Cricetulus griseus: one gene and its partners. The protein of the gene in region 1 binds, or shares a complex with, the protein of each later gene. Links are inferred from orthologs where the notes say so. Each region holds a gene or a part of one and is shown on either strand. Other genes may lie near its edges.

The links.
Region 2: Cir1 (region 1) and Sap30 share a complex: the UniProt entries of both Homo sapiens proteins name them as parts of the histone deacetylase complex. The link is inferred for Cricetulus griseus from reciprocal best matches to the Homo sapiens genes CIRSR and SAP30.
Region 3: Cir1 (region 1) and Nkap share a complex: the UniProt entries of both Homo sapiens proteins name them as parts of the notch corepressor complex. The link is inferred for Cricetulus griseus from reciprocal best matches to the Homo sapiens genes CIRSR and NKAP.

Annotation. Positions count from the first base shown.
Region 1 is NC_048599.1:101,832,691-101,841,146, reverse strand, and holds the start of Cir1 (corepressor interacting with RBPJ 1), read right to left. Parts: upstream 6,285-8,456; 5' UTR 6,180-6,284; coding exon 6,108-6,179; intron 4,211-6,107; coding exon 4,116-4,210; intron 696-4,115; coding exon 622-695; intron 111-621; coding exon 100-110; intron 17-99; coding exon 1-16. UniProt on the Homo sapiens protein: May modulate splice site selection during alternative splicing of pre-mRNAs. Regulates transcription and acts as corepressor for RBPJ. Recruits RBPJ to the Sin3-histone deacetylase complex (HDAC). Required for RBPJ-mediated repression of transcription.
Region 2 is NW_023276806.1:235,751,989-235,758,908, forward strand, and holds the end of Sap30 (histone deacetylase complex subunit SAP30), read right to left. Parts: intron 6,147-6,920; coding exon 6,021-6,146; intron 5,452-6,020; coding exon 5,353-5,451; intron 3,467-5,352; coding exon 3,344-3,466; 3' UTR 3,134-3,343; downstream 1-3,133. UniProt on the Homo sapiens protein: Involved in the functional recruitment of the Sin3-histone deacetylase complex (HDAC) to a specific subset of N-CoR corepressor complexes. Capable of transcription repression by N-CoR.
Region 3 is NC_048604.1:29,364,370-29,372,104, reverse strand, and holds part of Nkap (NF-kappa-B-activating protein), read left to right. Parts: intron 1-2,746; coding exon 2,747-2,817; intron 2,818-2,985; coding exon 2,986-3,126; intron 3,127-5,027; coding exon 5,028-5,091; intron 5,092-7,655; coding exon 7,656-7,735. UniProt on the Homo sapiens protein: Acts as a transcriptional repressor. Plays a role as a transcriptional corepressor of the Notch-mediated signaling required for T-cell development. Also involved in the TNF and IL-1 induced NF-kappa-B activation.

The DNA of each region.
Region 1 (8,456 bases):
CTTCTGTTTCTTCTTTCTACAAGAGTTAGTAAAAATTCTTTAATTTTCCATAAAATCGCAGTCAACCATATATCAATTCAAACAGAGAAGAGTACTTACCTCTTTGTTTTCTTGATTGTATGTTCAAAGCAGAGGGAGAAGCAGGACAAGTTAGCAATGTCAGTGGAAAAAGTCTACTACTTATTATGCTGTATTACTTAACCGTAACCTGTAAGGATCAACTAGTTTTTCTTTTATCATAAGATATAACTCCAAATGACTGAAGGATAAAATACACTAGAGTCCAGAATAGGTATCATGATTTTTAAGCATTTATGTTTTTCACGGGCAGTGAATAGACTTTCCATTTGAAAATGTATTTAGTAAGGATTACAGCTATGTGTACATTATAAAAGGATGAATATACTTCTGCAATATTGAACATTTCCCTCCCACAAAGGACATAAGCCACATTAGGAAAATATTTTGTGTTTATTCTACCATGAGATGACAGCATTTGAGCTGATATCATCACAGAGTAACATCAATGGGAAAGGCAAAGAATAACCTTTAAAATCCTGTTTGCTCTTCTCAACCTTCATACATACCCACATTAAAGCTTAAAGGAAACAAGGCAAGTACCTTTTTTAACTCCTGGTGGGGCCTCATACATGAAATTCAGGCCGTTCTTTACACGCTCATCTCCCATAAGCAATCTAAATGAAATAACGGTACAATTTTAAACAAAAGGAAGAGCATGATAGCATAACATCTCTCAAAGAATAACCCTAAAATAATGAAGATATTTTTATTAGTGATAAAGCCCAAAAAGTGCTGTCTTATTAGGAACTTGATGTAACTTTTCGGCTTCCTTCTTCCCTCTAGCTCTCCCAATGAGAAAGGAAAAAAGATGGCATGGTTACTCTTACAGAATTTTCTTAATCACTATGAAATGCTGCCGAAATAGTTTTGAAATCCTATGTGCTATCATATATTTTGGTGCCACAACCTTTTCTTTTTAAAGTGATTTTATATCTTTTCATCTTGGTTTTTCCAGACAGGGTTTCTCTGTGTAGCCATGGCTGTCCTGGAACTCACTCTGTAGACCAGACTGGCCTCCAACTCAGAGAGATCTGCCTGCCTCTGCCTCCAGACTGCTGGGATTAAAGGTGCACACCACCGCCACCACCAGCTATTTTAGTATTTTTAATTGTGTGTGTGTGTGTGTGTGTGTGTGTGTGTGTGTGTGTGAGAGAGAGAGAGAGAGAGAGAGAGAGAGAGAGAGAGAGAGCGCACGCACATGCATGTGGAGGTCAGAGGTGAAGTAGGGTGTTTTTCTCAACTATTCACCTTATTTTTAATTAATTATTATGTGTGATGTGTGTAGAAGCATGTTTGCATGCATGTAGACTGTTTTCTGCTTCTACCTCTATGTGGGTCTTACGGATTGCATTCACCTTTACTCATCTGGCCAGCCCTCCACCTTACTTTTTAGACACGGTCTCTTACTAAATCTGCGGCTCAATGATTGGACTAAATAGCTAGCTAGCAAGGGCCAGGGATCTTCCTGTTTCTATCTCTGTAGCATTGGGATCACAGGCAAGCACTAACCATCTGGCTTTTTATGTGGGGGTTTAGAATCCAAACTCAGGTCCTCTTACTTTCATGACAAACACTACAAGCTGAGCTAACTCCTAGGCCCTAAGAACCAATTTTTTCTTTTTCTGAAAACAAGGAAAAAAATTAACAAAATTCTGCAATTGGCTAATATACTGAAGGCAGAAATGACTATTACTCAAAAAATCTTAGGTAGTGACTGAAACTTCTGTTGTAGGTTCTGTGTACAGTGTGCTGCTGTTGGGTTTCTTAGGTAAAAGGCCCACAACAAACAGGATGGCTACACCAACTTAATGTTAAGTCTGTAAAATCCAAGTTAAATATTAGCAAAAGCTAAAGTGTAAGTAAGAAACGTCTTTGTATTTGGAAAAGGCAATCACAAAGGATATGCTATACATTATTGTAAGCAAATCTCAGTTTTTCTCTATTGGACTCTATACTCCCAGTTCTCCCCCCCCCCCAAAAAAACCCAAAAACCAAAAACCAAAACAAAAGGACATATAAATATATATCTTTATTGTGGAACATTATTCTTTAATTAAAAGGAATGTGTACTAATGTATGTGGTAGATTACCTTCAAAAATATGCTAAATGAAAGAAATCAGGGGCCAGTCACATGTCTCAGTGGCCAAAGCTGCCGCCACCCAAGCTTACCGGCCTGAGTTCAATCCCTGGGACCCACACAGTGAAAAGAGAGAACTGCCTCTGACTCTCACATGTGCACCAAGGTCCTCATATGCCACATACATACATACATACATACATACATACATACATACATACATATATATATAAGTAAATACACACACACACACACATATATACATATATATATATAGACATACATACATACATATTCGAGACAGGGTTTCTCTGTGTAGCTTTGGAGCCTATCCTAGCCCTCACTCTGTAGACCAGACTGGCCTCAAACTCACAGAGATCAACCTTCCTCTGCCTCCCAAGTGCAGGGATTAAAAGCATGAGCCACCACTGCCTGGCCTAAGAAAATATATTTTTAAAAATTTAAAAAATTAGCCAGTCGTGAAAGCCCTTGACACTGGGCACACACTCTGGTGCTAGTTGACACTCCTCAACTATCTCCCAAAGCCCAAGAGGCTAATGCAGTTAGCATGAAGTATGCCCGGGGCACTGCAAGCAGGGCAAGATAAAAGCTCTCCTGGTGTGGGCAAGCAAGATGGCTCAGCGGGTAAAGGTGCTTACCACCAACCCTGAGAATCTGAGTTTGTTCCTTGGGACCCACATGGAGAGACTTGACTATTGAAAGTTGCCCTCTGACCTCCACTCATGCCCCACCCACAGGCACAAACTGACTAAATAAACAAATAAATAAGTGTAACTTTTAAATGTAAAGAAAAAAAGTCACAAAAGACCATTTTATCATCTGCCTTATGAGTCCATAACTCCACAAAAATTCATAGGTATAAAATGGTGATGACTTGTGAAAGGCAGAAATAGGATAAATTAGGAAATGGGGAATGACTACTAATGAATACAGTTCCTTTTCAAGTGATGAAATGTTTTGAAATTCGATATGGTGATGGCTTAGCAACACCAAACAAATTAAAAAACCCATGTATATTGGACATTATATGTATATTAAACAGATGTGTAAATTTTGTCTTAGCACCATTTAAAAATTATAAATCAAGTACATGAAACACTGAGCTTTATTAGAAATGGAGAAATAGAAATCAAACTACAAGTCACCACCTCATACTTATCAGCATGGTTATTACTAAATGAGCTGAGATGTAACCCAGTTGGCAGAGGCAGAGTGCTGGCCTGACACAGCAAGCCCTGGGTTTGACTCCCACCATCACATACACTGGGTACAGTGGCACATGCCAGCATTTGGGAGTTCAACTTCACAGGAAGTTCAAGATCAGCTTAGGCTATGGAAAAGTTTGGTGGTTCTTTAAAAAACTAAAAAAGGATTACCTTGAGATCTAGAAGTTCTGCTCCTAAGCACATACACAAAGCAACTGAAAACAGTCTTGAACAGATATCGATATGCTAATGTTAATAGCGTGATCCAAATACCCATAAACTGATGAATGTCTCAAGTTTCCAATGTAAATGTTTCAAAAACAAATGTTTCGGAGCACAGTCTATATAACCAAAACACCACTACTCAATTAACCAAATACAAGCACATTGAAAGCAGCTAAAGGCATGTACCATCCTGGAAGAAGCTAATGGACTCTAGCCACAGCGCACAGACACCCGGCTTTTCTCTTCTAAGTGTCCTGAGTATCTTTCACTCCAGTGTATTTAAAAGAAACCTTTCTAATCAGGCTTAGTAGTTAACATGCAGAGCTTATTATTTCTGCAAGCTGTCTCATGTGGGACTTGCTAACAGTCTGGATGACTCAATGAAGCTGTGTTTTATGTAAAGAATAGGTAAATTTGGAAAAGGTGACCATGTATAATTATGGCAGAGAAGCTGACTCAATATTGCAAATGATTATACTAAAAACACTGAAAAGGTGGCACTTACCTGTTATCATACGACTCTTGTTCTTTAAGGTACTGTTGCATTAGTTCTTCTTGTTTCTTTTTATCATATGATATTTTCTGTTCTGCCATCCATACCTATATTAGTGAAACAAAATATAATTTAACAACTGAATTAAATAAGAAGTCTGTTTTGTGTGTATATACATTCGTGTCTGCATGTATGTACTATGTGCCTGTGAGTATGGAGTACAGGGTTTAAAACAAATTATCTTCCCCAGTCACTTTCCACTTGACTTATTGTAACAGGGTCTCACTGAACCCAGAGTTCAACAATTATACTAGTATAGCTACCAACTTGCATGAAGATCTCCTGTCTCCATCCCGAAGGTGAAGATCACAAATGGGCCACTATTATTTTATGTGGGTACTGGGAAACCAAATTCTAACCTCACACTTGTGCATCAAGCACTTTATCCACTAAGCCATCTTGATAGTCCTGGAAGCTCCATTGTCTTCTATAATCAACCACACATGGTTAGCCAGGCATGCTGGTGCATGTCTGCAATCCCAGAACTCAGGAGGCTGAGGTAGGACTACTAAGAGTTCCAGGCCAGCCAGAGCTACACAGTGAGATCTTGTCTGAAAAAAAAACAGCCCCCTCCCACACACACAAAAGAGAAATTACCGTGTATCTCAAGCTTTATATTTCACTGTTATTTAAATAGTCTCAATTGCTCAAGAACTTATATTCCATTAACTGAAATAAAAATAAAACACAGGTCCATTGCCAGAGCACTCATAGGATTCTTCTGCACATTATAAACTATTTCACGATTTAAGAAGGAGATACAAAAGTCAAGTGCAGTGGCTTAAACCTGTCATCCCAGCATTTGGGAGGCAGAGACAAGAAGATCAGGGGTTCAGGGCCATTCACCCTCGATAGCAAGAGGAGACCCCAACTCAAAAAAGAGACCATGAAAAGTGTAAAAGACATGTGGACAATAGGAGTATGGACAAAATAAACAGAACAAGGGGGGAGGTCAAGGGATAAGGCAGAGATTGAAATACCTAGCAAGATTCTGGGGGGCAGGGAGTGACTTAAAATTATGTAGCATGTTTTTAATCCTAGCACTTGGGAGGCAGAGGCAGGTGAATCTCTATGAGTTCGAGGACAGCCTGGTCTACACAGAGAAAACCTGTCTCAAAGAAAAAATGAAGTAACTATATTTACAAATAACTCGTGTTAGCACTTCTTGTATTTTCTTCCACAGATATTCTAATGCACATGTACGCTTATTTTTACATAACATGGTAACATACAGGACTCACGACTGGCTTAGAAACAACTAAAAGCTCAATATATTCTCACAAGCTTGTGTGTACTTTCTGAGTATTTTCCGTGATGCACAGTGCTAAGCCTTCATTTCCCGTTTCTATTCTTTCCCCCACACTATCTCATTTAATCTTCCTGACAATTTTACACATTAGGGCAACCGACACTGTCATTTTTAATTAGTAAAGTAGGAGGCTGAAGATAATGACATTAAACATTTTGTGCGAGGCCTCAAGGCTAAACGTGACTGTCCTGATCTATCAAGAATCCTGGTCTGAGCCCAAGGCTACGACACTCCCCGTCGCCATTCTTCCGCCGTAATTCTCTCCTCTGTCCTGTGTCCAGCACTTGGTTGAGCTGTAATTTTTTTTTTTTTAAACGCTGAACTTGAATGCGGCCATCAGACACGACCCTACGGGATGCAGATGTGGGATGGGTAGTGAAAGCAGGGGTGGTTTTCCCTTGAGAGACCTGTTTAAGCGGTGAGTCTTCACACAGGGAAGCAGAGCTTACGGGTCTCGTCTTAGGGCTCTGGGATTCGGACCCGGAATCCACCCCGACTGACAGGGCCGGACTTTGGGGACCACTCGGTATGTGGGGTTAGCACGGAGAACGGGGCGACGTCTCCAGGCCTGCGGAGGACACAACTGTCCCAGGGAGCTCGGCACCTCGCTGCCCTCTCCGGATCCCTTCACTCACCTTCTTGATGTTGGATTTGGACGCAGGATGGAAGTCCTTTTTGCACATGAAATTAGCGAACGACTTCCCCATCTTGGAGTCCGAGAGGGAGAAGCCCGCCGCTGGGTCTGCGAGGAACGTAAACAAACTCCGGGAGCGTCACCGGAACTGTAAGGAGAGCATAAGCGAGGACTTCCGATGTCGAAGGTGGCTACTTCCGACGATTAGCTCCTGGGCCCGCCCCTTCGCTTCCGGCGATTGCTTTTGGTAGCGGCGGAGGCTAACCCGGCGTCCGCGCGTGCGCAGCTGAGGTAAGCCGAATTCTGCGCGAGCCTCGCGCGGTGCGGGGCCCCTGTGGGCTCTGCGCGCCAGCTTCGCTCCGAGCGCAGGCATCGCAGAGCAGCCGAGGTCTTGAAATTGGAGCCCAGCACTTACTGGAAACTTCGACTCCAGTTGCAAATACTTAAAAAAAAATATTTTTTTTGGAGCTTAGTTTCCATGTGGTTTATGGAGACAGTAACAAGCCTCGCGGCGACTGTAGGACGTTTGTGAGACTCAAAAGATTGGTGTTGTCGAAAGCACTGAATACACTGTTGGCGCCTCAAGAAGCGAGGCTGTTCCCTTCCGGTTGTTATGTTTTTTTGAGGCACGGTCTTACTCTCTAGCATTGGCTTGAACTAAGTAGACCAGGCCGGCCTGGAACTCACAGATCATCCTGCCTCTGCCTCCCGAGAGCTGGGAATAAAGGCGTGAGCCACGACATACAGCTTCTTCGGTTATTTCCAGCCATGCAGAGAGAAGTTCAACAAACATCGTGAATGATGAAAACACGTTAGGGCCAAGGGCTTTCCTCTCCGGGTGCTGATCTCTTAGTTGCTGCCGCTATCCCAGAGAGCGAGCCACTCGCAGCGGCTGGGTGGTCCTAGGGTGTGGTCTGGGTGTGGCTGTTAGTCCTCTAGCAAGGATAAGTATAAACCAGCTTAAAACCAGTGACAGCTTTCGCTTGAGGGTCAAATGTGTTCCAGGTAATTTTGTCATGTCTTATTTGTGACCCGGTCCATGTATCCATCAAACTTGGATACACGCATGCACCCCCAAGCCGGGCTTTCCCTTGCAGGGTCATACTGAGTCAATCCTCAAAGCAGCACTATTAGATGGTGTTTTATTTTATTTTACGGATGAGCCTGGAAGAAAAGAGGACGAGAATAAATAGCCTCCCTATGTTAGTACTAAGGTAGCTAACTTTGGGCACTGTAAATGGGAAATCAGAACTTTCAGAGAGCCTCCTGAAAAGGCACAAAAGAAAAACAGGGTCACTTTTTCCCATCTTGAGAAGAGAAGAACCTTCAAGGTGTTCCATGGTGAACTTGTTTCCTGAGTCACGTTGTTCGTTTTGAAACGGGGTTTCACTATGCTGTTCTTGAATTATGTAGCACAGGCTAGAGCTTTAAACTCTAGCTCATCCTGCCAATGCTGAGATTACCATACCCTGCTTCGTTTTCCTTTCAGTAAATATTAATTTATGTTTATTTTATTCATATTCATTATATTTTTGTTCTGTTTTAAAATGGCAGTATGTTCGTGTATAAAACTATGCTAAGATTTGGTCTTATTAAAAAAGGAAACTGGGCTGGAGTGATAGCTGAGCGATTAAAGATAACTCACCACTTTTCCTGAAGACTTAAATTCAGTTACCAACACGCACTTGAGATGCCTCACAACCTCCTATAACTCCAGCTTCAGGGCGTTTGATGCCGGATTCTGAATTAATTAAACACCCCCATAGTTATGGCAGACAGACAGACACATACATACATGCACATAAATAGTAAAAATAAATTTTAAGAAATTAAAAATAAAAGCAGGGAACTAAAACTATGTTCTGAAAGCAAAATAAAAATATAGGATCTTGAATTGTTCTAAAAATGAGGATTTAAGATAAAGACAATTTATATGTCAGTTCTACAACCAAAATTTATAAATTACAAATATGAATGTTCTACCTGGAAACCTTAACAGTTGGGATTTTGTTTGTTTTCTGTTTTTTTTTTAAAGATTTATGTATATGGTGTTATGCCTGCAGGTTAGAAGGCACCAGATTTCATTATATAGATGGTTGTGAGCTGCCATGTAGGCGCTGAGAATTGAACTCAGGACCTCTGGAAGAACAGCCAGTGCTCTTAACCTCCAACTCATCTCTCCAGCCTTGTTTTCTGGTTTTTCCAGACATGGGTTTCTCTGTCTAACAGCCCTGGCTGTCCTGGAACTCGATTTGTAGACTAGGCTGGCCTCAAACTCATGGAGATCCTCCTGCCTCTGCCTCACAAGCTCTGGGATTAAAGGTGTGAACCACTATTCCCAGACTTTACA
Region 2 (6,920 bases), on another chromosome or scaffold:
AGAGAGATTACAAGTGCTAGCAAATTTTCAGCCTAATATTATGTCAATAATGTCATCAATGTCCCAGCAACTTGGAAAATTTTGACAGTATATCAAAAAGTTAAATAGAGAATTATTTAGCAGTTTTACTGCTAGGTGTAAACTCAGGAGAAATGAAGAATTTTATGGACAGAAACACCAGTTCAGTGATGTTTCTACAGTAGCATTATTATACTAGCCGAAGGTTGAAACTCAATGTGCCATGAATGAACTAGCCTCCCATGGAGATATATTAATAGATGCAATGAGAGGATTCGTATGACTGTTTTGGGAGGATGATTAAAAAAAACAAAACAAACATGATATTAGGCATGGCAGTTGCATAATATTGTGAATACACTGAATACCACAAAATTATGTACTTTGGCTGTATATTATGTAAATTTCTCTTCAATGGAAAAATTACATAGCAAAATGGGAGGTTTTTTAAAAAAAAAATTGTAGCCTTTTCTTAATTTGTTTTGGTTCCTAAATATTTTTTAAAGTCCCCCTACAAATTTAATACTCTTTCCTTATACAACTCTTATGACAAATTTGTCTTCTTCTCTTGATGCTGTTAAAAATAACCTGTACCCATGTAAAGATGAGTTTCCATTTACTCTTTATTCAGAGACAAATAAGAAATTACTAGTGAATACATAACATTAAAAACTAAATAGCACAGGAATAAAACTTTATAGAAACTGCTTTATACTACAGCTCAGTGGGTACTCAAGCTTGGTGAGATTCTAGTTTTCAATGTAAAAGAGCCACTCTTTTAATGTTTAAATTGATATGGAAAGGGCCCAGGAAATGGCTCAGCGTGTGAAGATGCTAGCCCAGTGAGTCTGATGATGACTTGAGATTGATTCCCTGAACACATGTAAAAAACTAGATGTTGTGAGCCTCTACAGCAAGATAGGAAATAGAGATAAGGAATCTCCTAGAAGCCTGGGGCCAGCTAGCTGGAATATACCATGCTACAGCAGAAAAAAAGACTCTGCCTCAGTAGGTGAGAACTGGCTCCTGGAAGTTGTCCTCAGACCTTCGCCTGCAGCTTGCACCTTAGTTTAAAAGACCTTTTAAAAATTGCTTTAACAAGGACTTAACTTCATTGGCTAATCACCACTCAGAACCCTATTCTTCAGGGTTATTTTATGATTTTATTATGCAAATAAGTATAAGAAACTACACCTTTAATTCTAGCACTTGGGAGGCAGAGGGAGGTGGATCTCTGAGAGTTCTAGGACAGTCTCCAAAGCTATAGGGAAACTGTTTCCGGGATGGGGGATGGGGGAGGGGACTAAATTACTAGTTATGATACGTTGATCAAATAAGTTTCAAGCTCTTTTCACAAGAAAAAATTTTATAGGGAAAACCATGATGTAGCTGTTTTATTCAAAAATGAAATCATAAGGATTAGGTAAAAATATGGGAGAAATATTATTTTCAAATAAACACTGACATCTTGCAGGTATGTGGTTCATTTTTATACAGCTAAGAAAAATAAATTGTTCCAGAAGGCTCTGGGACACTGCAAATAAAGTTTCCAAAATGCCTAGAATTGTAGCTTCTACTCACCAACAATGTTCTAAGGACATTTTATTTTTATTTATTTTTTTTAAGATTTATTTATTTGTTATGTATACAGTTCTGTCTATATGATGCCTGCAGGCCAGAAAAGGGTACCAGATCTCATTACAGAAGGTTTTGAGCCACCATGTGGATGCTGGGAATTGAACTCAGGACCTCTGGAAGAGCAGCCAGTGCTCTTAACCTCTGAGCCATCTCTCCAGCCCTAAGGACATTTTAAATGGTGCTAAGAACCAAACACCAGTTGCTTTATTTTCTATAATCAACACTTGAGAATAAGTAAACTTACCCCTAATTAATCAGTACTGCAGACACTGTCAGTGGCTCTCAGCTGGTGGTCATTTTTTTTTTTTTTTTTGTCACCTGGGCACCTTTGGCAGTGTCTAGAGGTAATTATCATTGTTACATCTCAGAGCTACTGGCACTTAACAGTAAATGTCATGAACTGTGTGCGCTCATCTTTCTACAACCCAGGACAGCCTCCCATAGCCAACCATCACAGGTCCAAATGTCAACCTTGAGGAACTTTGAGCTGTGTTAGTAGTCTTATCCATTTCCAGCCTAAAGTTTGCAACCATTCTTAGAACATTTTTCCTGGAGCTGCTTTCGTTTTTTGATGTGACAAGCTATAAACCTGATTTGTTATGCTGAGCATTTAGCCAAGCAATAAAATTCCAAGAGAAATAGATGTTAAAAATGGTAAAAAACAAAACAAAACAAAACACTGACAATGAAATATAAAGCAACCCCAACCCTTAAACAAAGAGCTCATTACACATGCAGACTTCTCTAATCTCAGACAAGGTTTGGTTCCATTTTGTTGAGACAAGGTTTGCTCTGCAGCCAGGTCTCTAACCTGTGATCCTCCTGCCTCAGCCTCTAGAGGGCTGATTATAAACATTCACCACACAGCAGTTTAATTAACATGGTTTGAATTTGCAAAGCAAACATTAAAGAATGTGAGTTATTTTCCATGAATTCTTATTTCAACTCTGAGCAAGCGCTGTGCTTACCTTTGCTGGAATGTAGGGTGTCTTTGGAAAGAGAGAGGCACAGAAACTACCTGTTTTTCTTCATATGCCTTCAAAGAATAATAATAACAATGCAAAAGGGAAATTTAAAAGTAGTTAAGAATCAGTGGAAGTCTAATTTTTAAACCTGCTAACATACACTGTGAAGTATTTTAAAAAAAAACACTGTTAGCCTGAAGTAGAGCTTGCCTTTAGTCTGAACACTTGGGAGGCAGAGGCAGGTGGATCTCTGAGTTCCAGGACAGCCAGAGATACCTGTCTCAAAACCAACAGACGCCCCCCCCCACCCCACCACCACCACCACACACTTACTTACAAATCAAATTGATCTAGGGAAATTACATTTATCTGTTGTTTCTCCTTTACCTTTAATTACTTGGAATTTTCAAGAAAAATTTACAAAATAAGGATCTTTACCTGAAACCTTAATACCAATTCCTGAAAGCTTAAAACAAAAACTAAGTTTCACAAAATAAATACACTGAAGCAGCTATAATAGTAATAACCTTTATTTAAAATAGTTTTAATTTAGGAAGCTCATTTCATATGAGTTTCCAACTAATTATTAGAATCAAAACCAAACAAAAAAAGCCAAAGAAAATCCTCTGTAGAAAAAATACCCAAGAACATTTCTACATATGAAAAACAGTAAACATTCTTTACAGCCAGACATCTATGTGCTAGTGTGAATGCCATCTCTCCTAGTGAACACCACTGTCGACCTTGAGATCTGATTTGTTCTTGTCATTCTTCACTGAGTAGATAAAATATGTTAGGGTGTCTTTTTCATTCACTGGAATAGACCTAAAGTGGCAACCAACTATCTACAAAGAAAAAAACAAATTAAATGTTAGATGCAGCAGATTCTGTGAGCCAGGTAAAAGGCACAGTTTAAAAAAAAAAAAAAAAAGGCACAGTTTAGGCCATGTGTTATATGGCCACAAGAGATTGTCTTTTAAAAATTAAGCTGTTTTAACAAAATATGAACAGGCCCCAAAGCACATTTAAAAAAAACAAAATATTATCAACAAAGGACAGTCTGATTTCAAAGGACCCTTTAGTCTACTCAATTCATATGCTCTAATTCTAAGTATTTTACTTGCTTTGGTCCACTGGTTATAAGTATTTTTCCCTTTAAACTTAACAACTTATAAAGTACATATTCTTAAACATTAAATATCAATGACATAAAACAAAAGAGCCAACGTGCATGTCGACTGCATTCACAGGAAAAGATTAATGTAAACAAAACAACAAAAACCCTTGGTAACAAACTATGATATCATATACAATTTTGGTGCAATTGATATTCATTCTCCCTAAGTTTCAGCAAAATTTTCTGAGTAAGATTTAAGAAAATTAAAGGAGCTAGAAAGACGCTCAAGAAGACTGCTTCCCTGTCTTTTCACAGCACAAACCAAACATGCACACTGAGCTACCAACACGAATAAGAAACTGAGCTGCTAATGTGTGCACTCCGATTCCAGAAGATGGCCTGTTTTTCTAGAACAGAAAATAACTCTGTACTAATTCAACTGTTTTTAGAAGACCAGACTTTAAAGTTGAGATTTGAGTTATAAACTATATGATGTTATATCATACAACGTTTGCATCAGTTCTTGGCTCCTCTCTGTTACAAAACAGGGGCGACCATACTTCATTAATGTCTAGTATATTTCATCATAGTAGGGAACATCTTTATGTTTATGTACTGTGCCATGGTAAAAGGACTAGATCTTTAAATAAAATTTGAAGAAAAATTATATTTTTGTCTAGGCAAAAAATAGAGGAGAAAATTTGGCTAGTTAGCATATTGAATTTTAATAATGTAAAAGAACTTTCTACAAAGAATTGCAACTTGTATTTATCTTTTATTTAATATGCACATTAGAAATGTAGGCTAACTACTCAAGTCAAACCCAAGAATATGAGAAAACTCATGTAAACACACACACACACACACACACACACACACACACACACACAGAGAGAGAGAGAGAGATTTCTGTCCTGTCTATTTAGTGGAAAAGTTTATTTTACATATAAAGTCTAATTATTTAAATCTGTAAATACTTTAAAGTGCACAGATTTTGTGGCTCTATTACTTCTTGAAAACACACACACACACACACACACACACACACACACACACACACAGCTAATTTCCAAAGCACTCTGAAGGAACCAAAGTCCTATACAAAATAAACTTTAAGTAAAAGCTTGGATAAAATCTTTGCTCTCTCTCGATGTAAAGAAAGCATCTTCTACTTAAAAACAACAACTACTAACAAAGACAACCTGAAAGTAAAACTAGAAAGTTAGGAAGTACTGCTTCAGGGTTCATCTGTAGGCCTATCCCAGAGAAGCTTTGAAAACTAAATTCTGATAAATGCTTGTAAGCTTATTTATTTGTTATGCCTCAATTAGGTGTTCAATAAACAGACATTGAATAATTAGAAACCTAAAACAGATTTCTGAAGTGATTAAAAACTCACTAAATACTTACTCTGAGAAATCCCTATTAAAAAATGCTGTAAGTGGATTTTCTAGGTGACAGACAGTTGTTTCTAAACCACTATATGCACACCATGATAGACCCATTAACTCTGACTTTCTTAGACATTAGACATTTACCTATTTCATCATCATTTAATCACAACCCTTGTTGGTGTGAACAGGTTTGTTTATACCGTATAAAAATTATACATACCTCAACAAGTTGTGCTTTATTAAGGCCTGGTCTGGTTGGAAGCTTGAAGTGTCTTTTGTATCTTCTAAGTGTATTTACTTGTAATTGGTACAAATCAACCTAGAAAAAAAAAATTAAGATGTAACATAGTTCACTCTGCTGAAAAGATATCACTGATCTGTAAAGCAAAGGGCAATGTCCACTTCAGCACAAGAACAATTTCTTTTCCACAGTCAGATCTAGAGTTTATTAGTTTCACCTTTTGGGGATACATAGTGTAAGCTTTTAGAGGAAAAAAAAAAAGGAAGTTATAGGTCAAGGGCTACAAGAACTGTCACCTGAGATTTAATAGTAGTATAAATGCATGTTTTATTCTATTTACTTATTTATTTTTGGTTTTTCGAGACAGGGTTTCTCTGTGTAGCTTTGTAGACCAGGCTGGCCTGGAACTCACAGAGATTCGCCTGCCTCTGCCTCCCGAATGCTGGGTTTAAAGGCATGCACCTGCACCACCACCACCACCACCCAACCACCCGGCTAGTATAAATACATGTTAACTGATTGTATTTAATTTTGAGATTTGTCAGATGCTTTAAACATTTAAAACTTAATTCAAATATTTACATAAAGGCTTTGGAATTGCCAGCATGCTTATGATTTACATTTAACATAATAAAACTTTGCTCTACCTCTGGAGTATCGATGTCCTGAACAGGTGAGTCTCCTCCATCATCATCACTCCCTTTCCTCTTTCTTCTGTTTCGAACACTCTGAATTAAGTTTTTATGATAATCACAAATATAAAGATGTCTTGCCTGAAACAAAGTTTCATAGACAGTGAATACAGAACAATGCATCTCTGTGTTAGTAAAACACATAGGCCCAGATGAATGACTGAACAGTCTAAGCGGGCCACTGTTAAGACAATGTAACGTTCCTTTCCAAACCGGTTACCTGACTCTAACATTAGCAGTCTGGCAATACTGTTTGTGGGAGAGGGGAGGGGAAGGAGAGTGGTACCATGGGAGAAGGCAGGCAGACAGAGGAAGAGAAATTCCAACCCTCTGGGGTTTGTCATCAAATTGCATTGAGGATGACCTAAATAAATTAGCTCCCGTTGATTTTGAAGGTACAAGGGAAGAGGTGATAATTTTCTCTAATCTGAGAGCAGCAAATCATATTAATGCTCCTAATGTTAGGTATATGCTTCCTAATCTTACTAATTAGTCAAATTCCACACAGATACTAACTAGGCATTTTTACAAATGCGCTATTGAATTCATATCCTATGTTTAAATTTCAAGTACTAACATTTCTTTGTAAGAATTAAATGAATGTATTTATCTGTACTGTGTTGCTTTCAATTAAAGAACACAGAAATTATTCACATTCACTTGCAACATTTCTCATGGGTCCTACTGAAAAACGGCTTAAACAGAAACACAAACTTTTCAAACAATTACACAGGCATTTGAGAGTTACATAATGAGCGATTGGAAATACTGAGCTGATTGACAGTCTCCCCCTCCCCCCTTTAAGGCTACACAATTAAGGGCCTTTTAAATTGACTACTAAGCTAAGAGCAAGTT
Region 3 (7,735 bases), on another chromosome or scaffold:
TTTTCGTCTTGTAGTTTCAGAGTTTCAAGTCTACAGTAAAGTCACCAAGAATTTTTTAAAATTAATATTCTGCCATTTAAAAAATGTTTCTTATATCTAATACTCTGAAGGCCTAGTTCTTTTTAGTCTTTATTTTCTTTATTTCTTTGTAAATGTTAATATTTGTGGGAGCATTTGTGTGCCATAGCACACAGGTGAGAGTTGATCGATCCTTCCACATTATGGACTCAAAGGTTGGAACTCAGATCATCAGACTTGACAGCAAGCACCTTTAACATGCTGGCCCCATATTTATTTATTTATTTATTTATTTATTTATTTATTTATTTATTTATTTATTTATTTATTTATGTTTTTGTTTGTATGAGAGGTTTCTCTGTGTAGCCCTGGATGTCTCGGAACTCACTGTAGACCAGGCTGTCCTTAAACTCAGATCTGACTGTGGGGATTAAGGGCACCCCTGCCCAGTTCCACTCCACTCTTGGATTATTTTTGAGACAGTGTGCTTAACAAGAAAATTATAATTTGTGTCAGGGTGATAAAGCAATATTATCTGAAACTTGTTTTTGTTTTTTTTTTTTTTTGGTTTTTCGAGACAGGGTTTCTCCGTGGCTTTGGAAGCTGCCCGAAACTTGTTCTTATAGATACTTGAACCCATTGAATGAAAATTAAAGGAAATCCTAAAAATATTTTGATAAATAATACCTAAGTAATTTCATGTGTGATCTTCAAAACTTTAAAGGAAAGATGACATAATATGAGAATTTTCCTTTGGTACCATCAAATCATTTTAATTTTTTAGAGCCTGTCCCAAAGAATTAAGAAAAAGTTTTTAGATTTATTTATTATTTTTGACAAAGTCTCACTATGTGGCCCTGGCTGACCTGAAATTCACTCTGTAGACCACGGTGGATTCAAATTCACGGAGATCTTCCTGCCTCTGCCTCCTAAGTTCTGGGATTAAAGGTTCATATCACCTTTTAATTATTTCTTTTTTTAAATATTTTTTCTGACATTCTTTTTTTTAAACATTTATTTACTTATTTTTATTACATATACAGTGTTCTGTCTGCATGTTTGCCTATACGCCAGAAGAGGGCACCAGATCTCATGATAGGTGGTTGTGAGCCACCATGTGGTTGCTGGGAATTGAACTCAGGACCTCTGGAAGAGCAGTCAGTGCTCTTAACTTCTAAGCCATCTCTCCAGCCCCTGCTTTTAATTATTTCTATTGTGTGGGTTTCCATGGGTATGCACAGCTAGTGTCCCAGAGGCCAGTGATATCAGATTTCCTTGGAGCTAGAGTTATAGGTGATTGTGAGCCACCCAGCGTGGGTGCTGGGAATCAAACTGAGGTCCTATGCAAGAGTAGTGCACACACTAATTTGCTGAGCAGATAACAGCTGTTAGAGTGCTTGTCTAGAATGCATAAGACCCTGGGTTTGATCTCTAGCACCACATAAACCAGTCATGGTGGTATGTGATTTATAATATCAGGATTGAAGAGGCAGAGGCAGGAGGGTCAAAAGTGAAAGAATATCCTTAGCTGCATAGCGAGTTCCCAGGCCAGTGAGATGTTTCAGCAGGCAAAGGTGCTTGTTGCCAGTTCTGACAACTTCATTTTGATCCATGGGACTCACATAGGGTGGACGGATAACCAAATCCTGAAAATTGTTCTCTAACCTCCACACACACACACACACACACACACACACACACACACACACACACAGACACAAATATTCATGTATGTACTAAGTAAACTAAACCCCCAAACAAAAAAACTTACTTTTAGAATTTATTTTACAAATTCTGCAGTCTTTTAGGTTTTGGGGAGATGGGAGTTATGCTAAGCATATATCCTTCATATACTTAGAATAAAATCCTGGAGATTCGAGTTGTTCTCATGTATATCCTTCATCTACTAGGAATAAAATTCTGGTACTAGAATATCTCTCAGTGTTAAAACAGTCAAAACCAAAACCAGTGTTAAAACCAAGCATTTTTGAGGCCTAGGTTTTATCCCTACAGCCCGAAAATAATAAAATCATGAACTCTTCCATCAGTCTTCATGTTTGCCTTTTCTTGATGTTTTCTATTTCTAAACTTTCTTTTTTTCTTTCTTTCTTTTTTTTTTTTTTTGGTTTTTTGAGACAGGGTTTCTCTGTGGCTTTGGAGGCTGTCCTGGAACTTGCTCTTGTAGACCAGGCTGGTCTCCAACCCACAATGGCGTGCGCCACCACCTCCCGGCCTATTTCTTAACTTTCATCTTGTGAGTTTCTTCTAAAAATATAAGTCTTACACATTGCTTTTTTAAACAGTACTGTGTAAATGAAAGCATTATAGAAATATCAGTCATTTTCCTATTATGAAGATGGTAGATTTCTGAATATACTCTTACAAAAATGCTTGCCTTTGAGAGCTAGAGAGAGGGTTCAGTGGTTTAGAGCACTGGCTGTTCTTCTGGCAACCTGAACTTGATCCACAGCACCCACATAACAACCATTCTCTAACTCCAGTTCCAGAGGATCCGATGCCTCCTCTAGCCTTTGTGAGCACCAGGCACAGTCGTATGTGTAGGCAAAATGCCCCTACATGTAAGATAAAATAATAATAATAATAACAATAATTTTAAATGCTTGTCTTTAAAAGTTCCTAGGCAATGAGTGCTGTTACTGAAGAATTTTAAGTGCATATTTTAATGCCCTATGGTACATATTTCTTCCAACCGTTTTCTGTAATTCAGCTCTGATGAACATACACCAGTAGAGGATGAAGAGCCAAAGAAAAGCACTACTTCAGCATCGAGTTCAGAAGGTAATTTTGGAAAATAAGGAAGTTACTACTTCACAAATTTAAAAAGTATGTTTATAAATAATTGAACAGTAGACTACCAAATAGCTATTCCTTTTCAGTATCTGAAATATAGTAAGATGTCCAGAAATACTTCTGAGGAAGTTCATTTTTCATTTGTACTTACAACAGATGACAAGAAGAAGAAAAGGAAATCTAGTCATTCAAAAGAAAGATCCAAGAAAAAGAGAAAGAAAAAGTCATCTAAAAGAAAACATAAGAAGTATTCTGAAGATAGTGACAGTGACTCTGAATCTGAAACAGACTCCAGTGGTAAGAAAGCTGTAGCGTTCTGCAAACCCCAGAGTGCATTTTAGTTGTTAAAAATGTTGCGCTTAAGGCTGTATTGTTTGTGCATCATATGTATTCCCTCTGCCTGTGGAGACCAGAAGAGGGTGTCAAATCCCCTGGAACTGGAGTTACAGACCACCACGTGAGTGCTGGTAGTTCTCTGGAAGAGCAGCCAGTGGTCTTAGCTGCTAAGCCATCTCTCTACCCCCTCAGCTTTTTAAAAATGTGTTGAATTATAACCATAATTATGACCATGTTAGTTTTCTGATTACATTTAAATTTTTCGTATTTATTTAATTTTCTTTCTTTCTTTTTTTTTTTTTTTGGTTTTTTGAGACAGGGTTTCTCTGTGTAGCTTTGGAGCCTATCCTGGCTCACTCTGGAGACCAGGCTGGCCTCAAACTCACAGAGATCTGCCTGCCTCTGCCTCCTGAGTGCTGGGATTAAAGGTGTGTGCCACCAATGCCCGGCCTTATTTAATTTTCTACAGTTACGTATGTGTCACTTGGTACAGCAGGCCCTCTGCCTTTAAAGCTAGTCACTCCCTGTATCCACCTTGGCTTACATAGTGCAGCAATGGACATGCAGTGCTTTTTTTTTCAATTTTTTTAGATTTATTTATTTATTTTACATATATGAGTGCTCTGTCTATCCTGCTATAGATGGTTGTGAGCCACCATGCGGTTGCTGGGAATTGAACTCAGGTCCTCTGGAAGAGCAGTCAGTGCTCTTAACCACTGAGCCATCTCTCCAACCCCATGTAGTACTTTTGTAATAAACTGATTTCAAAAACTGCTAGTCACTGCTTCCAGGTTAACCATTCCTTAATTATCTTTCCAAATAAGTCATGTTTTTAATTACACTTTAGTCATTTCTTTTGTGCACGTGTGTATGGATATGGATACGCACACCTCCCGACATGCATGGAAGTTAAGGAGTAACTTGAGTTGAAGTTTCTCTCCTTCCATCACGTGGGGCCTGGGGATTGAACTCAGGTCTTCATGCTCAACAAAGCACGTTTCCCAACTGAGTCATCTTGCCAGTGCATGTCTCGCTGGTTTGCAGACTCCTCTGTCTCCTCATGCCCCATGCTTTTCTCTGTCAGCCCATATTATGCTCATTTCATTACCATCTCACCTCCATCCCACTGAGGTTCTGGGAATGGAAAGCATTCTCTTCCTCTCCACACAGAGTGGGTTCTTTTGGTTTTTCTTTTTCTCACTGTGAAACTTTAACAATTCTTAGGGAAGTAAAGGGAATAATGTAATTATCATCATTATCATTATTAGTTTCTGTTAGCATTTTGACATATTTGTGTAAAATATGGGGGTAGGGGAAGTTGCTGATCTATTCAGAGTAAGTTCCTTGACTATCATTCCAAGAATATTTCTATATGCACTCCTTTGAAATAGGACTTTTTCCTACTTAACCAATGCCATTGGTGCAATGAATAAATTAATGATATATAATAAATAAAGTGATTCCCCATATTATTAATACTTAGTGTGACTTTAACTTATTTACACTTATTTATTGTATGTCCTTATGTGTATGCACTCATACATGCCACAGCCAGTGTGAAGAGATCAGAGGATAACTTACAGGAATCAGTTCTTTCCTTCCACCATGTAGTTCTGAGGCTCAAATTCAAGTCATCAGGTTTGACAGTAAGCGTTTTACCCACTGAGCCATCTTGCTGGTCTATGATTTTAATTTCTTTGACTCCTGCCCCTAGTATAGTTCCTGGCAAATTTCAATAAACGTCAGAATGAATAATTTCTCTGCAGCAACAAATGAACATTTGCAACAGTAGAATATTTACCTGTTAAAATATTGGAATTTTGAATGTCATTTTTTTCAATAATATGTGCTTTAATTTTCAGATGAAGATACAAAGAGAAGAGCAAAGAAAGCTAAGAAAAAAGAAAAGAAGAGGAAACGGAGAATGTAAGTTTTTCTTTACTTTTTGTAATGAAAAAGTTTAAAATACTTATAAAATTATGTAAAATAGTATAATGATCCCCCATATACATACCCAGTGTGACTAATTATTCTCTCATGGGTAGTTTCCACCACTCTCCAATTATTTTGATACTAATGAGAGCTATCATTCCTTCCATAAATAATTCGATAATTTAGTACCTTTCTCTAAAAGGTATTTTTTTTAAAATAGAAAGATGCTAACTTTTATTGTGCCTACATATTTAACAGTTGCTGGGCATTGGTGGCACACGCCTTTAATCCCAGCATTTAGGAGGCAAAGACAGGCTGATGACCACTACACAGTGAGTTCTAGGACAGCCGGGTCTACATAGAAAAACACTGTCTTAAGAAACAAACAAAAAAAATGGACAGTCAATTCTCTGTATTTTTTCCCTATAGTTTATTTGAATCAGAGTGCAAATAATGTCTGTAAATTATAGTGGTTATTGTGAGTGAATTAGCATGCTTTCCTGTCTTCTTTCTAGAGGTAGGCACGGTTCAAGTTGGAACTTTGGCCAGGACTACTTTCTAGGTGGTGCTGTGTACACCATCAGTAGATGGCTACTGTCTTCTCTCTTTTTGTTATATTAACAAACACTACTGGTCTTTGTCAAGGTTCAGTATGTTATGGAAATTGAAAAACGGTGGTAGTTTACTTTGAATGCTGCTATTTAAACATATTTGCTGTATTTTAATCCATCATACTGAAAATTTTTATTAATGTTTACATTGGTGAGAACTTATTTGGTTTTGTGGGTTGTTTTTGCATTTCATTTAGTTTTTGTGAATTTTTTCTGTATTTGGGATTGTTTGCTTTTATGTTCTGCCTGTACATATCCCTGCATGCCAGAAGAGGGCACCAGATCTTACGCAGATGGTTGTGAGCCACCATGTGGGTGCTGGGGATTGGGGATTGAACCTGGGTCCTCTGGAGGAGCAGTCAGTGCTCTTAACCTCTGAGCCATCTCTCCAGCCTGTTTTATGTTTTCATAAGAAAGATTTATTTTCCTTTAAGTGTATGTATGAATCTGTGTATGCACCATGTATATATAGGTACCTGGAGAGGCCAGAAAAGGGTATCAGAGCCCTTGGAGCTGGAATTACAGATGGTTATGAGCTACCTGATGTGGGTGCTGGCATATGAACTCTAGTTCTCTGGAAGAGCAGCAAGCACTTGCAACTGCTGAACAATCTCTTTTTTGTTTGTTTGTTTTTTGAGACAGGGTTTCTTTGTATTGCTTTGGAGGCTGTCCTGGCACTCCCTCTGTAGACCAGGCTGGCCTTGAACTCACAGAGATCCACCTGCCTCTGCTTCTGGAGTGGTGGGATTAAAGGCATGCGCCACCAACGCCCAGCAGGGCAGAACAATCTCTTTAACCCTCGTATGTTTGTTTTTTGAGTTAGGGTCTAATATACCCCAGGCTGGCCTTAGGCTCACTGGATAGCATAGGATTTCTTTGAACTCTTGATTCTCCTGCCTCTAGCTCCAAGGTGCTAGGATTACATGTAGCTAGTCTTTCTGTATCCCACTAGCCAGCTCCCAAATGATGACACAGACATTTTTTATTAATTATGAAAACTTGGCTGACAGCTTAGGCTTGTTTCTAACTAGCTCTTAGAACTTAAATTAACCCATTTCTATTCATCTACATGGTGCTACGTGGCTGATGGCTTTCACCTCTCTTCCTGCATGTTTCACTTCCTCTGCATCTGGCTGGCGATTCTGCCTTCTTCCCAGCATTCTCTGTGCCCCCGAAATCCTGATTTGCTATTGGTCATTTAGTTTTTTATTAAAGCAACCCAAGTGACACTTCTTTATAGTGTATAAAAAGATTATTCTACAACAATTACAGACATAAGCTTTCACCTCCTGCCTGAGAGTTAGGCTTTAAGCTATTTTATTTCCATTATCTTTCTACATGATAACCATATTTACTTGATTGTTTAGTCATTTCTTGTTAATGGTAAAATAGTACTTGGTTAACTGAGAAGATTGAATCGAAATGTTTGAATAAGCTGGGAATTCAGATAATTTTAATCAACATTTTCATTCCCTTGAAATTTGAGCATGCCTGGGGTTGGAGACCTGGCTCAGCAGTAAGTAGCACTGGCTGTTCTTACAGAGGACCCATATGGCAGCTCCCAACTACCTGTAAATCCAGTTCCAGGGGATCTGACGCCCTCACAGAGACATACATGCAGGCACATAAATTAAAAAAAATTCTTAAAAAAGAAAACTGAGTGCTGGAGAGATGGCTCAGAGGTTAAGAGCACCGACTGCTCTTCCAGAGGTCCTGAGTTCAATTCCCAGCAACCACATGGTGGCTCACAACCATCCGTTATGAGATCTGGTGCCCTCTTCTGGTGTGCAGATATACATGGAAGCAGAATGTTGTATACATGATAAATAAATAAAAAAAATCTTTAAAAAAAAGTAGAATCTTCAATTTACCTTTAAAAAAAAAGAAAACTGAAAATGCCTTTTAACATGAGAATACTTAATTTGTATTAAATTATAATCCATTCAGGAAGAAATACAAGAAAAAGAAGTCTAAGAAGAACAGAAAAGAGTCCAGTGATTCAAGCTCTAAAGAGTCCCAAGAAGAAT